5 linked regions of the Ovis aries genome follow. The protein of the gene in region 1 purifies or fractionates together with the protein of each later gene. This does not show direct contact. Links are inferred from orthologs where the notes say so. Each region holds a gene or a part of one and is shown on either strand. Other genes may lie near its edges.

Region 1 (3,513 bases):
TCAACAAACAAGAACGAAAAAACTACTTTACTTTCTTTAAAAGCAAAGGATTAAGTATACAACTTCAGAATGGCAGGTTAAAAAAGAGGGCATTTTTCATACATAAAGGGCTTAAAAGAAGAATTTACTGCCTATTAATTGTTTCACTATAGAGGAAAGTCAAAAAAATGGAATCAGATTCTGTCATCAGAGCCTAGCTCACAGGCTAGGCATTCTGAGACAAGGAAGTTATTTCAGGAATGTATGGCAGACTGACAACAGTAACCTAAATTTTAACAAAGGAAAAAATGTGTTTTAATACCTGTATTAGTTTAACCTTCTAATCTCAATATATCCTTCCAGTTGGTGGCTAACGGAAAAAATGTCTGCACTGTACAAAACATATGCTCACCTTAGAAGGAATACAACCAACATTCAAGCATGTCCCACCGAGTGTTTCATTTTTCTCAACACAGACTGTCTATAAGCAAAGAAAATGTTATTTACTGCACATAACCTGCAATGTTTCAGTTCACCAAAATTCCAAATGTGTGCCTTAATTCTTCTACAAAACATGCTACTGAAAGTGTTTGTGAGAATGAAATATATAGACTCTTAAAATTTATTATCTGCATAATACTAACTCAAAAGTGAATCATTCTGAAAGATATTTGTTTAAAAACCGGATCATGTTTTTATTTAGCTCTATTACTCTATCTTCCAAAGTGTGTACATGTGCATGCTAAGTCACTTCGGTAATATCCACCTCTGTGGGACCCTACAGACTGTAGCCTGTCAGGTTCCTCTGTCCATGGGATTCTCCAGGCAAGAATACTGGAGCGGTTGCCATGCATTCCTCCAGGGGATCCTCCCAACCCAGGGATCGAACCTGCATCTCTTAAGTCTTCTGCACTGGCACACAGGTTCTTTACCACTAGCATCACTTGGGATTCCCAAAGTGTGACTAGAAGCCAAAACAAAACAAAAAATACGGGGTGGGGGGTGGTGTGCGGCAGGGAGGGGATAGTGACTTCACTTTCCATTTCACGAAAATACTACAACTGAATGAATCCTCTCTCTTCATTAGTCTCAGACCTAAATATAATTTATAGAATTAGGAAATTATTTATCATTACTAATTACCTGCAAAGTATTTTGTGAATGTGCTCAACCCTTCCCAAATGAAAAGGCAATCAACGCCTAATCTGAGCTTAAACCTTACCTTGAAGCCTAACTGGGCAGCTTTAATAGCAGCAACATATCCTCCAGGACCAGAGCCAATTACTGTCACATCAGCATCAACTACAATCAAAGCAAATTGATACAAAACAATAAATTGCTTATTACTGATCAAAAGCACTACAGTTAAAAGTGCAAATAACCAGCATTTTCTACATAGTACTATTCATTCCGAGGTACCCGACATTCTCTGACATAACTGAAAATGACACTGAGTTTAAAATTTTGTTTTCTATTTATTCATTATGGCATATCAAAATATAACTGAGTTCTGTACCCACTGTATCTACTGACTTTGCTAAATTCCACAGTTTTATTGAATGATAATGGACAGACATTTAGTGACATAGCTGTATGAAGGAAAGAGCCTGAGCTGTGCAATCTGTCATACCTGGCTTCAAATCTCAACTCTTATCATTTATTAGCTGCGTGACTAAGAGACTTCATTTTTCTGTAATATAGGAACAATAACACTACCATGAATGACTGATGTTTGGATTAAATAAAATAATTTCGTATAATACCTTAGTTCTTTCAATAAACTCAAAACCGATTATATCCTTTTCAGGTACTTAACTTCTGAAGTAACAGGGGAAAAATTCTGCTTCCCTATAATACTTGGCAAATACATTCTGAACTATTTGAATAGTGATAAATTTTGTATAGTTTAATAGGCTAAACAGAACACTCAATGAACTATTCTGGACATTTATCATATAAAGATAAGAAACTGAAAATTAACTTTGATCAGTAGTCTTAGGAGTATAATAATTACGAAACAAATGTAAAGATACGTTGCAATTATTCCCAGTCTTCTCAATACAACATCAAATCAAGCAACAATAACCATTAAGAGTTAGACACAGTCTCCCTTCTCCCCCATCCACTGTCCTTACAATCTCAGTGACTCTAAAACTTAGTAGTTTTAACACACTTTCACATGTTTTTCTCAGAACTTCCTAGGAGAAAGGTAAGGATGCAATATATATATATATCTATATATATATCTATCACAGGTAAAAAACACTAGGTTAAAAAAGAAAAAACCCACTAGTTTCAGACAGTTCAATTAAACTTGCTCAAGTTTAGCAGCCATGTGACAGAGACAAAATTAGGCTTTTTGTCTCTCCTTCCAGCAGTCTATTATTTAGTATTACTCAGTTCCTTAATTTCAACTACCTCCAAGAGCAATAATCAAGCTGTATAATTACTAGCTATCTAACCTTAGGTGAGTAATTTAATCTGCTTCACCTTCAGTTTTCTCATCTGCAAAATAAGGAGTACACAAAAAAATATCTACCTCACAAGGCTGTAATATAAAACAAATAAATATGCAAATAGCTTAACACAGTACCCAAATGTATATAGTATTTGCTATATAATAGCTATATTCTGATCTACAAAGACAACAATTTTAATTTCTTATCATCCCCTTCCCCACAAAACACATACCCCTAGGGGATGGGAGTAGAGTATCCTTTAAAAGACTTTTGCTGGCCTCAACAGAATCACAGAAGCTATGTTGGAGGACAAGTAATAGGTTATCCAACCCAGTTATCCACAAAATCTAAGAATCACCCTACTGAATAAATTAAAGTACTGATTATCCTTGGTAATAATCTGGGTTACTCATACATGAAAAAAATATACCTAGACTAACACACGATTAAAAGTATCGTATCAATTCTCCTGATCCATTTGTGCTTTTTGGCCATACTGCTTAGTTCACTCATTCATGTTCAGAATTAAGTATATAATAAAATATATTTTGATTTTCAAATAGAAATTTCTATAAAATACATTTCTATTTTCAAATCTTGAACCAAATGAGGACCTACCCAACATCCCTTAGTTTGGGTCTAATTTTTAATTTCACAGTAATCTAAAGACAAGCTAAAAAACTTATTTCTTGCCTAAATGTTTAACATTTTAAATTATACAGGTTTATTGAATAAACTTAAATACAAAAAAAAGTCAAAAACGTGTGTTTTATTTCCCAATTTACTATGTGATCTTAGGTCTTTTTCAAAGCTACAGAAAATGCCAAGAAACAGTTCAGTTTGCACTGAAGATACTAGATGTTCCATTCCATGAGAATCCCACTAACATGCTAGGAAGCACAAAGATGAAGGGAAAGAAGAAAAGTCTTCATTTAAAGATCTGTCAGCTGAAGTACAGGAGGGCATTCAGTTCAGTTGCTCAGTTGTGTCCCACTCTTTGTGACCCCATGGACTGCAGCACGTCATCATATGGGTGTGATTCAGGGCAAAGTTTTAAAAATAAGCCATTAGTTAG
Region 2 (4,030 bases), on another chromosome or scaffold:
AAGTCTGTCACGGTTTCCATTTTTTCCTCATCTATTTGCCATAACGTGATGGGAATGGATTGCCAAGATCTTAGTTTTTTGAACGCTGAGGTGATGATGCTCGCTAAACTTTTTGTGATAATCACTTCATGAGATACATAAATCAAATTACGCTATCTTAAATTTACACAGTGCTGCTGCGGCGGCGCTTCAGTCGGGTCCGACTCTGTGCGACCCCATAGACGGCAGCCCACCAGGCTCTGCCGTCCGTAGGATTCTCCAGGCAAGAACACTGTAGTTGGTTGCCATTTCCTTCTCCAATGCATGACAATGAAAAGTGAAAGTGATGTCGCTCAGTCGTGTCCGACTCTTCGCGACCCCATAGACTGCAGCTCACCAGGCTCCTCCGTCCATGGGATTTTCCAGGCAAGAGTACTGGAGTGGGCTGCCATTGCCTTCTCCGTATACAGTGCTACAAGTTAATAATATTTTAACAAAAACTGTAGTTTTAGTAAATGGCCAGAGATATAAGAAGTGAACAAGATAGACCACGTTCCTAATCTCACGGAGTTTATATTCGAGGGGTAGAATGACGAAGAGCCTCCAAAACGCGCAAGAGGTATGGGGAACAACCAGCTCGGCTGGAGAGAGTTTGAGCAGGGATGATGAGGAGACAAGGATGCAGAAGAAGGCTTGCTGAACATCTTCAGGTCAGTTAAAGGGCAACGGGAGCCCTTTAGAGGTTCCTCGGTGCTCCAGTTCTTTGTTCCGGGGTTAGGGAGCGAGCGAAGTTTGTTGTTTTTTTTTTTTCCCCGCTCTATCTTTGAGGAACCTGAGGCTTAGGGAAGCAATGTCACCTGACCAAGGCCACACAAAGTGTAAGATCGCACAGGCACGTCAGCCCAAGGTCCGAGTCCGAAGAAGCCCACGCCGCCTTCGGCTTTTTGCCCCCCGGGAATGCGGGGAAGGAATAGCGCGGTGCCCTGGGTGGGAGGGTGTCCCAAGAGAGATGGACGCCGAGTTTATCCGAAAGCTCCGCGGAGAGATACGGGGAGGGTGGCAACCCGGAGCCGGAGCGATCTGTCGCCAGACGGTCTCAGGAGCCTTCGGGAGGCCCGGCCTGAGCCGCAGCAGGCCCCGCCCCGTTCCTCCCGCCAGTGGTTCGGTCCGGACACCCATTCACCCCCCTCCCCGCGCAGCGGGTGCCGCGGCCCGACCCACTTCCGGTTGCTGCCGGGGCCGATATCCGGTGTCCGCCCGCCCTCGGCTCCGCCGCCGTGATGCTGTCCCGGTCCCGCTGCGCGTCCCGGGCGTTCAGCCGCTCGCTCTCCGCCTTCCAGAAGGTACGGTCCGACCGGGCCGGGACCCCCGGCGGGAGAGAAAGTCGCCGGCGGGCAGACGGGGTGGGGTGGGGACGACAAGGGGCGTGGCGCGCCGGCCAGGCCGGGCACCAAGGGCACCGGGACGCGGAGGCCGCCGCCGCGGGGCTGGGCGGCCCGGAGCCGCTGTCGCCTCCGGGGCCGTCTTGTGGAGCCTAGCGGCCGGGAGCTCTTCCCGCGGCCGCCGGCGCCGCGGCCCCTGCCGGACCCCACCCTGCGTCCGCGCGGGCGGAGGAGCCGCCCAGAGCCGCGCCCGCCAGGACACCAGACTCTATTAGAGCTCGGGGACGCGGGGCGGGAGGCGCCGCGGAAGCCCCCGTCTGGATCCCAGGGCCTCTTTTCTAATCTGTTAAAAGGCGGTGGGTTTTCACTCCTGTGGGGGAAGGTTGAGATAGTCTGGCAGGCCCGGCGTCCCGCCCGCGTTGTTGCTGTTGCCTTTGCCTTTGGGAGGAGGCCCGAGGTTCACCTGTCACCAGTCCCGGGGGCAGCTTTAGGTCTGTACTTGAAAAAGCTGTTTCTTCCCTCACTTTTCGTCTCGGGTGACCGACGTCTTCTTTCTCAACAGGGGAACTGCCCTCTAGTGAGACGTTCCCTGCCTGGTAAGTTCTGCCCTTTTGCCGTCCCCTAAAAATGCTCTCGCCTCCTCGTGGGTAGACCGCGTGTGAGGAAATTGGGTGCCTGTGTTTCTCCGCCTCGTGTTCAGAGAGAGAGAGAGGAGCGAAACAAAAGATTATTTTATTTTTTAAAATTATTGATTTATTTGGCTGCACCGGGTCTTAGTTGAGGCACTTGGGAATCTAGTTCCCCGACTAGGGATGGAACGGGGATCGCCGCCCCACCCAACCCCTGCCCCGCATTGGTTGGAAGTGCAGAGTCCTAGCCACTGGAAGCCACCCCAAATGCTATTTAGTAACAGCTGCCGTTTGTTCATTTAGCACAGTTACTCAGTATCTACTCAGTGTCAGGCACCTGTGCTGCTAGGCACTCACAGGGGATATAGCAGTGAAGGGTGGATGGTGAGTTTCTCACCCTCCGGGAGCTTACAACCTAGCTAGGGAAAGAATATGTAAATTGCTCAACAAATGGACTATCCTGGATGCTGAAAAGGAAACAAGTGAAGCTGGACACTGAAGCTGTGACCCAGAGGATGTGGCAGGACAGGAGCCATCCAGATGAAGAGCAGGAGAAGGAAAGGGAATGACATGTATAAAGTCCTTGAGGAAGGAAAGCGCTTGTCGATATTTTGGAACTAGCAAAAGAGGTGATTTGGCCAGAGCATTTTGGTTGAGGGAGAGAGTGGCATGAGATAGAAGATGGCAGAAAGACGAGTGGAAAGAATTCAGGTTTTTAATCCCAATAATTTCTTTATATGCTTGGCATAAATATTCATTGAATGAGTTGATTTTCTTATGGGCATTCTATGTGCCAAGTATTGTTCTGAGTGCTTTCTGTGCATTTTTTCAGTTACTCATCAAGAAACAGTAAAATAAATATTTTCTCTATTTTACGAATGTATGACTCAAGGCCAAGAGAGGTTAAGTGCCTTGACCAAGGTCACTGTGCCAACTATTGGTCAAGCTGAGTCTGCTCCTCAGCCTGAACTCCTCACCCATCATATTATCATTTACTCACAATGAATAGATTATTTGTTGAATTGTCACTACATGCCAGACACTATGCTAGGTGGCAGGGATAGAGGTGGTCTCTACCCTCCAGGAGGGTACATAAGTACCCTTAATTACATAAGTACATAATTACATTGTGATTACTGTGAAAGAGAAGTAGGGGGTAGGATGATATAGCCAGGCTTGGGAGGGTGGTGAGTGAGGTGGCACCATCAGTAAAGGCTTCCCCAGAGAAGTGACATTTATGCCAAGTCTTGGAGAATATATAGGAGATGGCCAAGAGAAAGATATTTTAGGCAAAGGGAATGAATGGCTTAGGCAAAGTTTTCAGACAGAAAGAGGCATGACCAGTCATAGAAATGGAAAAGAAGCTTGTCTGGAAGGGCTGGACAGGAACGTGTAAAGGTTTTGGACTTCATCCTTAGAGTCATGAGATCATAAGAACCCAGCACAGTGTTAGCTCATAGGGGACTCTCATTAATAAACTCTTTACCTTGGAGTTTTGAAAAATGTCAGTAAACATTTTCTCCATTTTATAGACTGGCAGGACAATGGGAAGCGCCTTGTTCTTGCCTTTTGTGTTCTGGTTAAGGGCTTCTCCTTGGGCTAGCCACTTAACCTCCCAAAGCTCTGCTTATATATGAAATGAGAAGAATGGCAATGGTCATTCCACTTCAGGGAGTGTGAGATGAAAATCAAAATGAGGTCATTATATGAAAGCTTTTTATAAATTCTAAAGCACTGTACAAATGAAACTTGCTGTAGGATAAACTCTAAAGTGAACTTAGAGTTCCAAAAATCAGTATGGGCTGCTTGCTGGCTGCAAGCTCATCAACATGCTGTGTTTGGGATTTGTACTGTAGTTGTTGGCTATTGATCATAAAGAGGTGACTTACTTGACTGAAACCTTGAGGATGTTTGTGGGAAGCTGGGACAAGAGAGAATTGTCTTCCAGTTGGTATTTCCTGTGCCCATGGTTCAGAAAGAGTTGTTTTTGATCTGAAAAAACAAGACACATGAAAGAATATAATCAGGTGAAGCAGATAG
Region 3 (3,950 bases), about 28 Mb from region 1:
AGTATCTAGTTACTATAGTTTTAAAATGGACATTTTTATTACAAAAGAAAACATTTCAGCATTACAGTAAATCAGAAAACCTATTACTTGCCATATATCTCAAAGATAACCTATCACAAATCAGGAAGACCAAGTAACTTCTACGTATATTATTGTCCACCGAAAGTTGTGAGCCTAAGTTTTATCTTGGTCAGAAAAGGGAAGGAAGAAAAAGTGAAATTAAAGACACTTTAGCATTAAATTAGGTTTTTCCCTTGCTAATAAAGACTGAAGAACTGAAAGGACTTTCTCAGTATGTGATTGCTTACAACTTACCGTATTTCAACAAAATTGAGATTTTTGTCCTCCACATGTTGAAAATAGTGCTGTATCTACGATTGAGGTGAGGTTAAAGCGTCTGCCTGCAATGCCGGAGACCTGGGTTCGATACCTGGGTCGGGAAGATCCCCTGGAGAAGGAAATGGCAATCCACTCCAGTATTCTTGCCTGGAGAATGCCATGGGCGGAGGAGCCGGGTTGGCTACAGTCCACGGGGTCGCAAAGAGTCGGACACGACTGAACGACTTCACTCACTCAATAAATGTGGGTTCCCCCCCCCCGCTTTCTCAGCAGTAAGTAAAATAATCTCTAAAAGCGGATGACCACTTGGTATTTGATGAAATGGCATAATAAACCATCCTTGCACCAAGCGAAGGCTCCCGCGAGCCCGCTGCCTACTTTGGGAAAACCTAGTGTCAGCGTTAGGACTTCCTGGTTCTCATTCCGCGGGCCACTGCCTGCGGCGCCTCGAGCGCGCACTGCCGACCAAGGTTTGTTTCTGACATCACATACCAGGTCAGTTCTCCATCAAAGGACTCCTGACAGCCTACTGCAGGAGACAGTACTTAGCAACACGCAGACCCCCTTTCAGAACTGTCATGCAAGCCGGTCAGGACCCGACGTGCCAAAAGCAAGCCACAACCTCGGAGAAAACACTATTGCCCCAAGGCCGAGCCACAGGAGATGTGGGCGCGACTCTGTGACGTCAAGACTCCGCTCACGAGGTAGGGGCGGCCCCTCTCGTTTCCGGGCGGGGCGGCGTGCTGACGCCACACGCTGAGGCGGGGCCGAGAGTTTGGTGCCCCGGAGTGGGGTGTCGGCGCCTCATTCGGGTGGAGCTGAGCCGGAGACAGGTAGGCTTGCGCGGCGGCCGGGTCCAGCCGGATTTGGGAGGCTCCGCTCCGGTCAGGCAGGCGGCGAGGGTCTTGGCATGGGGCAAGGCCGCCGCGCCCTCGTTGTCGCCGCCGCCCCGGTGACAGGGAGTGGAGCTGGCTGGAGCGGGGCTGACTGGGGGAGGTGGGTGGGACGGAGCCTGACAGACGGATGTGGCAGCCAATGGTGCGGGGGGCGCCTCCTGGCGGGCGGAGATTGGCGGGTGCGGGCGTGCGCAGAGGTCGCGCGGGGCGCGGAGCGGCAAGCCATTGGCTGTGATGGGCAGGGGGGGGGTGGGCTGCGCGGCGGATGTGAGGGAACGGGCGCAGCGGCCGGGGTGACCCCCAAGGTCGAGGAGGCGTCACGTGGGAGTCGTCAGGCTGTGTCCTCTCCCCGCCTGGACGGCTGGAAGGGTGGCGCGCCCTTGACGAACCGGCTGTGATTTGTGGGCATTCGTTTTTCCCAGAGCGCGAAGACGCTGGTCGGCTTCTGTCCGGACTGACCCTTCGCCCCTGGGACGACCCCTTGAGGAACAGATTACTCTGCAGTACCCCTCTGTTTTCAGTGCCCATCGTACTAATCCTTCCTATGTTCCTTGGGGTGACGCCCTTGAGGAGCGGATTACCCCACAGTATCCTGTGTATTCAGTACCCCCATACCCATCCTCCCTGCGCTCTTCTTGGGTGAACCCTTGAGTGAATTACCCTCCAGCACTTAGTACCTCCACTATCCTCGGTTACCTTTACTGTACTCAGCACTCATCGTTCCCATTCTCTGTGCTCCTCTAATCCATTAACCCCTTAATGGATGGGTTACTCTGCTGCATGCCTGCTTAGTGCTCATATACTCAGGATCCCTCCATGCTTAGTACCCACAGTACCCATCCTCCTGTGAACTCTTTGGGGGCAACACCCTTAATGGGTAGACAAGCTTGCAGTACCCTACTGTAGTCAGTACGCTTCTTTCTTCCAGGGATATGGTAGTTCATGTTGAGATGAAGCGCGTTTCCTCGAGGAACACACTAGTGTACCTTTTCCGTTTCGCAAAGCTAGGTGATGTCAGTGTAAGTCGTGTACCGAAGCTTAGTAGAAAACTGGTGGCGAGACACTGAGTACAGACAAGAACTTGTTCTCTCTGCCCTTCACCCATAACCGAGGAGAGCTGACTCAGACCTGAGGTGTGAACTGTTTTGTCCTGGGGTTTCTCTTCTTTGTTTTACCGTACTTTGAAGCGGGGACTAGAGGCTGACTCCCAGGTTTACTGCTCTGAGCAGCTTTAGGATAAATGGCCTGGATGAAGTCTTGCTTGCACTGTGACAAGAGGTGCAGTAGTCAAACTGAAGTTTTTTTGTGCAAGACCCTCACGGTCTGAAAATGTATAGTACTATTCTAGCTTTGCAAATTAGCTGATCTTAGAAAGTTGAAGAAAGATTAGAGTATCCTGGTAAAATTTTGAAGAGCATTTTCCACATTTCAAGTACTTTTTTTTTTCCTTTTAACAGCTTTATTGAGATATGATTCATGTACCATACTGTTCACTCTTTCAAGTATACAATTCACTAGTTTGTGGTGTATTCATAGTATGCAGCCATCTCCAAAATTTAAAGACTAATTTTAATTTCAGAAATACATTAATTTCTATTGATTTCATTTCAGTTTGAACACACAGCTTATTAAAAGTGCAATATTTACCATGCTATATGTGTATCTTGCATAATATATATGCAGGATATATAGATATATATATATAAGATATGTAGCAGGTCTGCTTTTAATTAGTCTTACTCCTGACTGCCCCATTTGAGAAAAGTACTGTACCATCGTCTTTAAAATTTTTAGATAGTTTTATTTTGGAATAATTGTACAATTATTGAGAAATTTATTCTAGAATTTTGTAATTTTGAGAAATTGTACATGCAAGTCTGTTACATGCAATTACAACAACTAGTACAGAGAGATCCCAGTGTCCCTACCCATTTTCTCAAATAACATTTTTACAAAAACTTCATACTATAATCACAACCAGGTATTGACCCTGATTAACAGTCAAGATAGAGAACCTTTCCGTCATGCCAGGGGTCCCTCCTGTTATCTTGTTATGGCTGTACCCACTTCCGTCCTGCCTGCAGTTCCTCAGCTCCTGGCAACCACTAATCTGTTCTCCATTTCTATAATTTTGACATGTCAGGAATGTTACATAACGAGAATTGTACAGTATGTAACCTTTTAGGGTTGGCTTTTTTTGCTAAGCGTGATTCCCTGAAAATGCATGCAGGTTGTTGCCTATATCAGTAGTTTTGTTTTTATGCTTTTGATGCTATCGATGTACCAGGCTATTGGTGTACCATAGTTGATTTAAGTCTCCAGTCATTGAAGGACATCTGTGTGGTTTCCATTCTTTGACTGTTAAGCTGTTATAAACATTTATATACAGGTTTTTGGGGTTTCTTTTTCCTTCAAATTCCTGGTTTAATAAGGACTTTTTTATTCTGAGAAAAGAAAAAAAAGGTCCCAAACATCAGACTGTTCACAAAAATAACCCACAGTATCAACTTTAGAAAACAAGTCTTAATATTACACCAGTTATTTTTCTAGAGGATGCGTTTGACATGCCAACTCTCATTCACAAAAGTACATTATTATGTTTGTGTTGAACAGCCCCGCATAGCACGCTTATATGGAGTTATATATACAGGTTTTTATGTGAACAGAAGTTTTCATTTCTCTGAGAAAAATTCCCAGGAGTGTAATCACCAGGTC
Region 4 (3,513 bases), on another chromosome or scaffold:
TGGTGGCTCTGTGGTAAAGAATTTGCCTGCCAATGCAGGAGACGTGGGTTTGATCCCTGGGTTGAGAAGATCCCCTGGAATAGGAAATGGCAACCCACTTCAGTATTCTTGGTGGGAAAATCCCATAGATAGAGGAGCTTGGTGGGCTACAGTTCGAGGGATTGCAAATACAGTGAGGCATGACTGAGTACAAGCCGTGACATAAAGATAGATATTGCTTGAACATTAATACCCAGGTTAGAATTGAAATTAAGCCAGTAACATTGCTGAGTGATTTATCACTTGACCAGTTTTAACATGCCATTTTAATAGCAAGATGTCAGGATGTGTAGAAAGAAGTCTTCCTTAAAATAATTATTTGGGAAAGGCTCAGAATAAAAGTGACCTACACATGTAAAAAGATAAAAAAATTAATTGTCCAAAAATTTTGTGACTTTATTCAGGGCAAAAATGTTATGGGAGTTGGGGCATAAAAACTGTGTCAGAATTTTTTTCCTCAGTCCTGAGTTTCTTCCTCTTCTGAGGTTATGGTTGGTTACTTTCTATATTCTTCCTCCTGCTAAAGACCTTTGGATCCTTTTGTTAATTTGTTATTATACAGTACCTAAGAGGCAATGGCAACCCACTCTAGTACTCTTGCCTGGAAAATCCATGGACGGAGGAGCCTGGTAGGCCGCAGTCCATGAGGTCATGAAGAGTCGGACACGACTGAGCAACTTCACTTTCACTTTTCACTTTCATGCATTGGAGAAGGAAATGGCAACCCACTCCAGTGTTCTTGCCTGGAGAATCCCAGCGATGACGGAGCCTGGTGGGCTGCCGTCTATGGGGTCACACAGAGTCGGACACGACTGAAGTGACTTAGCAGCAGCAGCAGCAGCAGTATCGGCAGGCAGGTTCTTTACCGCTAGCACCACCTGGGAAACCCACTTATATATACTCCCTGTATAGAGTTTTTTTAGTAGGCGTGAAGTGCTGTCTATTGAATAAAAGCCCCCAGTTAGTGTTTTTCCTTGACATGTAGTGTTCTGTTTTCTCAGAGTAAGTGAAATAATCCAGTAGTATTTAGAAAAGACTAACAATAAAGAATAAGCGTCAAATAGACATATATAATCTGGAGGAGGGCATGGTAATCTACTCCAGTATTCTTGCCTGGAGAATCCTCATGGACAGAGGAGCATGGAGGGCTACATTCCATGGGGTCTCAAAGAGTCAGACATGACTGAGCGATTCAGCACAGACATGTATAATAGCGTCACAACAAAGCTGAAGGTGGTAAATGTAGTCACTGTTGATTCTGTTAACTAAATCAGTGTCTACTGATTAGTTTATTAGATATTAGGATTACCCCCTGTATATTTGTGTGTTTTGGATATTGGAAATGGATAAAAGCCAGCTGCATTTTTTCCTAAAGAATTAAGACTAGAACTTTTTCTTCTCTTAGATTATTTGTAGAAATTTTTGTATAGGAATAATTTTCTTCTTTGGGCATCATGTTCTATTCCCTGGTCTTTTATTAACATTCACTCATGATGGAATTTTGCCTGGTGGTCAGTTCACACATTTATTTCATCCTGTTCAGCAAATTTTTAAAATTTTTAATTTAAAAAAAAGTTACAGAAATTTTTTTTGTCTGTGCTGGGTCTTCATTGCCAAGAGAAGGCTTTCTCTAATTTTGGTAAGCAGGGGCTACTCTCTTGTTATGGTGCTTGGACTTCTTATTGTGATGACTTCTCTTGTTGCAGAGCATGAACTGTAGGTACAGGAGCTTCAGTAGTTGCAGCTCGAGGGCTCTAGGGCATGGGCTTAGTAATTGTGGCTCATGGGATTCGTTGCCCCAAGGCATGTGGGATCTTCTCAGTCCAGGGATCAAAGTCCTCTGAATTGGCAGGCGGATTCCTAACCACTGGACCACCAGAGAAGGTCGAGAGTTCTAAGTTTTGTTTTGCTTTTTTCCCCACAGCTTCCTGAGACATCATCAATTAAAATGACTTTTCTCTCAGCATAATCCTTATGTTAAATAGATGCAAAAGACTTAAGAAGATAGCAAACAAAACCGTAACTGAGTGAGCATCCAAATTCAGTGAACATACAAGCCATATAAATAGGGAAGCAGTCTTTAATTTAGATTAGCCAATCTGTTTTACATTTTACTCAGGTGGAAGTGACTATTGTAAGAACAGGTTTTTGTTGTTTGGGGTTTTTTTTCAGCCATGCCATATAGCATTCAGGATCTTAGTTCCCCATACAGGGATTAACCTGTGCCCTGCTGCATTGGGAGCACAGAGTCTAAACCACTGGGCCACCTGGGAAGTCCCGAACAGTCCTTGATATTAGTTTTTTATCTTGAAAAAGTACCTGGGAGGGACTTGGCTAGTGGTCCAATGGTTAAGAATCTGCCTGCAGGGGTCACAGGTTCAATCCCTGGTCTGGGAAGATTCTCACATGCTGAAGAGCAACTAAACGCATGTGCCACAACTACTGAGCTTGTGCTCTCAAACCCAAAAGCTCCACCTACTGAGCCTGCGTGCCTTGAGCCCATGCTCTGCAACCAGAGAAACCTCTCCAATGGGAGGCCTGTGCACTGTAGCTGGAGAGTAGCACCTGCTCAGTGCAACTAGCGAAAGCCTGTGTACAGCAATGAAGACCCAGAGCAACCAAAAATAAATAATTAAAAATTTAATAAAGTATCCAGGGAGTTTGGGAGAAATTCAGTCTCCTCTGAATGAAAAGGTGGATTTCAATAAAGCACACAGTAAAATTTTAGTGGAAAAGTCTGAGGTCATTCTATGAAGATGAAAAACCTCTAGCTTAATCTAAGTGTTAAGAAAGATGAGATGTTCTATGTTTAGATATCGTTGAGGAATTAATTTTAGCCATCTAGAAAGAAATCTTTCCCCTCTGCCTGTGGTTTTTAACTTTGAAGGGTGGGTCAGAGTATCACTGGCACTATAAAAGCTTGAGATTTAAAGGATTTACCTGTAGGGACGCTACTGAAGCTCGAGGCTTTTGCTGCTGTGGGAGCATCAGGCAGATGGGAATTTGGATTGTCATAGTCGCTGTCATTCCATAAAGCTATTTGCTTGCCTGAGTGCCATTGTGTCAAAAGCATCCTAATATTGAGTAATAATAAAATATATGTTTGTTTCTACAGGTGCTTCTTCCTGCCCTCTCTCCCACCATGACCATGGGCACAGTTCAGAGATGGGAAAAAAAAGTGGGTGAGAAGCTAAATGAAGGAGATTTATTGGCAGAGATAGAGACTGACAAGGCCACTATAGGTGAGATTTCTTCAGCTCTTAATGGTTGAGACACTGAGTTTTCCGGTGAGGGAAGAGGATTGCCATCCTATCCTATAATAAGTGAGTGATAACATGAAAAATTTTAATTCTTGGGATTAATTTCCTGGAACAGAGTATTTTCATAACAAAAATATCGCATAGTTGGATCTGTCGGTTCCATACTGCACTATCATTGAATCAAGGATGTATCGCCTTGGAGATAATTTTTAGT
Region 5 (4,130 bases), on another chromosome or scaffold:
TATCCCGAATGGCTGATTTAATAAGCCCTTTTGCATCCTCTGAACTCCAGGGGCTGACCACCTTTAAGCCTGGGCAATGCCCATACCAGGCAGCAAAACACTGTGAGTGCTGGGCAGCTACACCTGCTGAGGCGCCATTGGGCCCCCTGAAGACTATGGGCACAGACTGAAGGCCCCCTGACATGTAGTACGTCTTGGCAGCTGAGTTTATGACCTGGTCGATGGCTTGCATAGAGAAATTGAAGGTCATGAATTCACAAATGGGCCGTAACCCAGCCTGTCAAATCAAAAATGTTGAAAAGATGTTGAAAAGACTGGAAAACATCAGTTTAGAGTGGCAAATAACTACTTTGCCCCACCCCCAACACTCAAGCAGTGATTTTAAAAGGTGTTGTTAAAAGAAACTCTTTGGGTGAGATTCACAAAGAAGACTACCTACCATAGCTGCACCTACAGCAATTCCAGCAAAACCCATCTAGAAAGTAAAATGCAAATGTAAGTAAAAATCCACAAAAATTATAGTAGTATCCTTTAACAGACATGCCCCTCCAAGGTCTGCTTCCTGATGGAAGGCTTACCTCAGATATGGGAGTATCTATGATCCTCTTATCTCCGTATTTCTTCCACAGGCCTCGACTAACCTATAAGCAATGACCCCATTACTTCTAAGTGGGGGCAAATGACCATCTCAATTCTGTATAGTGTTTTTTTTTTTCCTTACTTACCTTATATGCCCCATCGTACTGGGCAACTTCTTCCCCAAGGAGAAATACCTTCTCATCTCTTTCCAGCTCCTCATCCATGCCTTGATTTATAGCCTCACGAACTGTCACCTGTCACAGGCATGGGAAAGCAGTCAATAAACTACAAGATTACTTAGGATACTACTGAGAGTCTCTCTTGACCTAGGCTGCCCACAGCACACTAGACAAAAACCATCAGTAGAACAGGCTTCTCTTTACAAGTTCAAAGAATTTAAAAAGTAACATTTCTATTGCTTATTGCCAGTCTATGATTAGATGTATGAATGAAAAGTATACTAAACACTTCCCTTTTTAATATTTATTGGCTGCACTGGGTTTTAGTCGCACATATGGGATCTTCCCGCTGTGTTGTGCGGGATCTTTCATTGTGGCTCACTGGCTCAGCAGCTGCCATCCAAGAGCTCAGCAGTAGTGGCGCACAGGCTCAGTTTCCCATGTGGGATCTTAGTTCCCTGAACAGGGATTGAACCCACGTCCCCTGCATTGCACGGTGGATTCTTAACCACTGGACCAGCAGGGAAGTCCCCTTTTTCTTAATGACTACCTAATCTTGAGAAATCTGCTTGCTGGCCAGGCCAGTTCACAGGTGCTTTCCTAAGTAGAGAGTATACTGGATAATTTTATTTCCACGTTTGGTATACTGTGGGGCAGAGAACAGTCAAGGAAGCCTAAGGAACACTACATAATGAGCACTAACTAAGCGCCAGACACTGCCACACACTTTGCCTTCAGGATCTAGGAATTACTCAACTATAAAGGTTGGTAGAATCCTCCAGTAACAGAAATGAGAAAGAGAAATTCCTCAAAAACTTGAACACAGAATTACCATATAATCCAACAATTCCAACTTCTAGATTTTATACCCCAAAGAACTGAAAGCGGCGCCAGTCTATGTCTGACGCAGGATATAGCATGCTTGGGGCTGGTGCATGGGGATGACCCAGAGAGATGTTATGGGGAGGGAGGTGGGAGGGGGGTTCATGTTTGGGAATGCATGTAAGAATTAAAGATTTTAAAATTAAAAAAAAAAAAAAGAACTGAAAGCGGGGACTCAGATAATTGCACATCAAAGTTCACAGCACCATTATTCAAAATCCAACAGGTGGAAACAACTCAGGTGTCCATCAATGGTGAGTGGGTAAGAAAAGGTGGTACATGCCTACAACGGAATACTATTCAGCCTTAAAAACGAATGAAATTCTGACACATGCTACAACATGGATGAACCTTGAAAACTTGGTAAGTGAAAGAAGTCAGACCTATAAGGAAAAATATTAAATGATTCCATTTACAGGCCACCCCTGCTGCTGCTGCTGCTGCTGCTGCTGCTGCTGCTGCTGCTAAGTCGCTTCAATCGTGTCTGACCCTGTTCTTCCCCACAGACAGCAGCCCATCAGGCTCCTCTGTCCCTGGGATTCTCTAGGCAAGAATCCTGGAGTGGGTGGCCATTTCCTTCTCCAATAGGCCATCCCTAGAATACATGAATTCATCACCACAGAAAAGTACCGAGGGGTTAGAGGTCACCAGGGGCTAAGGAAGCGTTACTGTTCAGTAAGTACAGTTTCTGTTTGGGACGATGATAAAGTTCTGGTGGTGAATGGAAGACGTGCTAAATGCACTTAGCGCCACTGAATATCCAGTTTAAAACAGTAAATTTTGTTATGTATATTTTACCACAATAAAAAATTTTAAGGGGAGGTGAGGGAAGAAGTGTCACGTCTAGTTCTCTCAGATCGGCCATTTGATTCCATTAAGCCTCGCGTGGGTGACATGAGACCCCAGCCTCTGCCCTGGGGCAAGGGGGCCCTCCCGGCCCGACTAGCGTCCGGGCCAGTTACCTGCAGTGCAGCCGGCGCGGTCCGGTGGAACTGCCTCCTCAGCAGCCCGGAGACCTGGCAGGGAGAGAGAGAGGACGCTCAGAGGGGAACCGAGTGGGCAGGGGTCGCGCAGGGTCATAGCAAGGGAGCCGTTGCCTACCTGCTCAAGGGGTCTCCGCACCAACACAGCAACCACCGCCATCTTGACCGTGTCCTCTAGCCGCTGCCAAATGACAGCACAGCAGGGCCGCGGACGAGTCGGACCCCGCTCCCCCGCCGGCGCGGGCCAATGGCAGGGCACGACGCCTGCGTGCCCCGCCTCCCGCAGTGCGTCATGGGCCGAGGGGGCGGGCCGAGGGGCGTGTGGGTGGTCCCAGTCTGCGGCGGCCGGGAAACTAGGGAGCGCAGGCGGTTGCCGGCGCTCGGGGTGCACGCCCGGAGCGCGTCCCTCCGTGTTAGTATTTTGGACGCGGGGAACGAAAGTCAGACGCTGATGAGCGTAACTCGAGGCCGTGAAAACTGCAGGCACAGAAACGCTTTGGTACGAAGGAGCACTTTATACATAATCTGGTGACTGGGTATTTACAGTGTGACAAGTTACCCTGGAAACACTGTCTTGTGGTTCCTTAGAATGTGAACTGGAGCTAGCTTTCATGTGTGCCAGGCATTATGTTACGTGCTTTAGGGCTCACTTAATTCTCATAGGAACCCTCTCAGGTAATTAGTGTTAATATTATTAGCTCTATTTCTCAGATGGGTAGACTGAATGAAGTAAGGATTGGTTAAAGGAGCCAGAATTTGACTTTATGACTCCTGACTGTAAAAGGTAGTCTTTCCCCACTGCTTCGTAAAGCGGAATTTGGGGTCCCAACCTGGGAGGGAGTTACAACAACCTGCATTTAGAGAGGGCCTATCACCTGAGAAGAGGGCGTCACAGAATAAGATGGCTGGATGGCATCACCCGTACAATGGACATGAACTTGGGCAAAGTTTTGGGAGATGGTAAGGGACAGGGGGGCTTGCCGTGCTGCAGTCCATGGGGTCACAAAGAGTTGGACACGCCTAGTGACTGAACATAACCTGACTAGGGAAGCCTCTGGAAGCTTTATCTCATTGGTCTCATTTTGACTTGGGAGGGAGGGGAATGGGTCACGTAGAACCTTTGGGGACTCCCCCAGTCCCCACTCTTATCCAGGACATTTCAGAAATTTCTGTGAGGGTTGCGAGCTGCTGGTCTGTAACCTGAGAATCTGGGTTTACTGTAAGGGCCCCGAGAAGCCAGTGCAGCAGGGAGAGACTAGGTCACAGGAATCTGGTTGCTGAGTGAGAGGAGAGGGGTGAGGGCAGAAGCAGGGAGACCCCAGGGAGACTTTGGTAGAGAGAACTGGAATAGAGGACAGCTTCAGCATGACAAGCAGGTGGCAGGTTTGAGATCTGTTTGGGACTGGAATCAATAGGGAAGGGGAAGAGTTGAGGAAGGTTTGGGTTTTCTTTGTTTTTGTTGGGTGGGTCTGAGAAGAGAGGCGACTAGGTGTAGGAGATAAGGATC

Evidence for each region.
Region 2: the proteins of DLD (region 1) and DLST purify together in Homo sapiens (affinity purification with mass spectrometry; 3 studies listed by BioGRID and IntAct, counting the BioPlex papers as one, with this or other methods). This does not show direct contact. The link is inferred for Ovis aries from reciprocal best matches to the Homo sapiens genes DLD and DLST.
Region 3: the proteins of DLD (region 1) and OGDH purify together in Homo sapiens (affinity purification with mass spectrometry; 3 studies listed by BioGRID and IntAct, counting the BioPlex papers as one, with this or other methods). This does not show direct contact. The link is inferred for Ovis aries from reciprocal best matches to the Homo sapiens genes DLD and OGDH.
Region 4: the proteins of DLD (region 1) and DLAT purify together in Homo sapiens (affinity purification with mass spectrometry; 4 studies listed by BioGRID and IntAct, counting the BioPlex papers as one, with this or other methods). This does not show direct contact. The link is inferred for Ovis aries from reciprocal best matches to the Homo sapiens genes DLD and DLAT.
Region 5: the proteins of DLD (region 1) and PDHB purify together in Homo sapiens (affinity purification with mass spectrometry; 3 studies listed by BioGRID and IntAct, counting the BioPlex papers as one, with this or other methods). This does not show direct contact. The link is inferred for Ovis aries from reciprocal best matches to the Homo sapiens genes DLD and PDHB.

What each region holds. Positions count from the first base shown.
Region 1 is NC_056057.1:50,453,946-50,457,458, reverse strand, and holds part of DLD (dihydrolipoyl dehydrogenase, mitochondrial), read right to left. Parts: intron 1,282-3,513; coding exon 1,202-1,281; intron 461-1,201; coding exon 392-460; intron 1-391. UniProt on the Homo sapiens protein: Lipoamide dehydrogenase is a component of the glycine cleavage system as well as an E3 component of three alpha-ketoacid dehydrogenase complexes (pyruvate-, alpha-ketoglutarate-, and branched-chain amino acid-dehydrogenase complex).
Region 2 is NC_056060.1:84,217,017-84,221,046, forward strand, and holds the start of DLST (dihydrolipoyllysine-residue succinyltransferase component of 2-oxoglutarate dehydrogenase complex, mitochondrial), read left to right. Parts: upstream 1-1,220; 5' UTR 1,221-1,259; coding exon 1,260-1,322; intron 1,323-1,923; coding exon 1,924-1,957; intron 1,958-4,030. UniProt on the Homo sapiens protein: Dihydrolipoamide succinyltransferase (E2) component of the 2-oxoglutarate dehydrogenase complex. The 2-oxoglutarate dehydrogenase complex catalyzes the overall conversion of 2-oxoglutarate to succinyl-CoA and CO(2).
Region 3 is NC_056057.1:78,498,211-78,502,160, reverse strand, and holds the start of OGDH (2-oxoglutarate dehydrogenase complex component E1), read left to right. Parts: upstream 1-1,145; 5' UTR 1,146-1,172; intron 1,173-1,537; exon of another isoform or gene 1,538-1,764; intron 1,765-3,950. UniProt on the Homo sapiens protein: 2-oxoglutarate dehydrogenase (E1o) component of the 2-oxoglutarate dehydrogenase complex (OGDHC). Participates in the first step, rate limiting for the overall conversion of 2-oxoglutarate to succinyl-CoA and CO(2) catalyzed by the whole OGDHC.
Region 4 is NC_056068.1:22,031,588-22,035,100, forward strand, and holds part of DLAT (dihydrolipoyllysine-residue acetyltransferase component of pyruvate dehydrogenase complex, mitochondrial), read left to right. Parts: intron 1-3,154; coding exon 3,155-3,281; intron 3,282-3,513.
Region 5 is NC_056072.1:43,024,518-43,028,647, reverse strand, and holds the start of PDHB (pyruvate dehydrogenase E1 component subunit beta, mitochondrial), read right to left. Parts: upstream 2,814-4,130; 5' UTR 2,784-2,813; coding exon 2,742-2,783; intron 2,657-2,741; coding exon 2,603-2,656; intron 834-2,602; coding exon 726-833; intron 642-725; coding exon 579-641; intron 476-578; coding exon 440-475; intron 278-439; coding exon 1-277. UniProt on the Homo sapiens protein: The pyruvate dehydrogenase complex catalyzes the overall conversion of pyruvate to acetyl-CoA and CO(2), and thereby links the glycolytic pathway to the tricarboxylic cycle.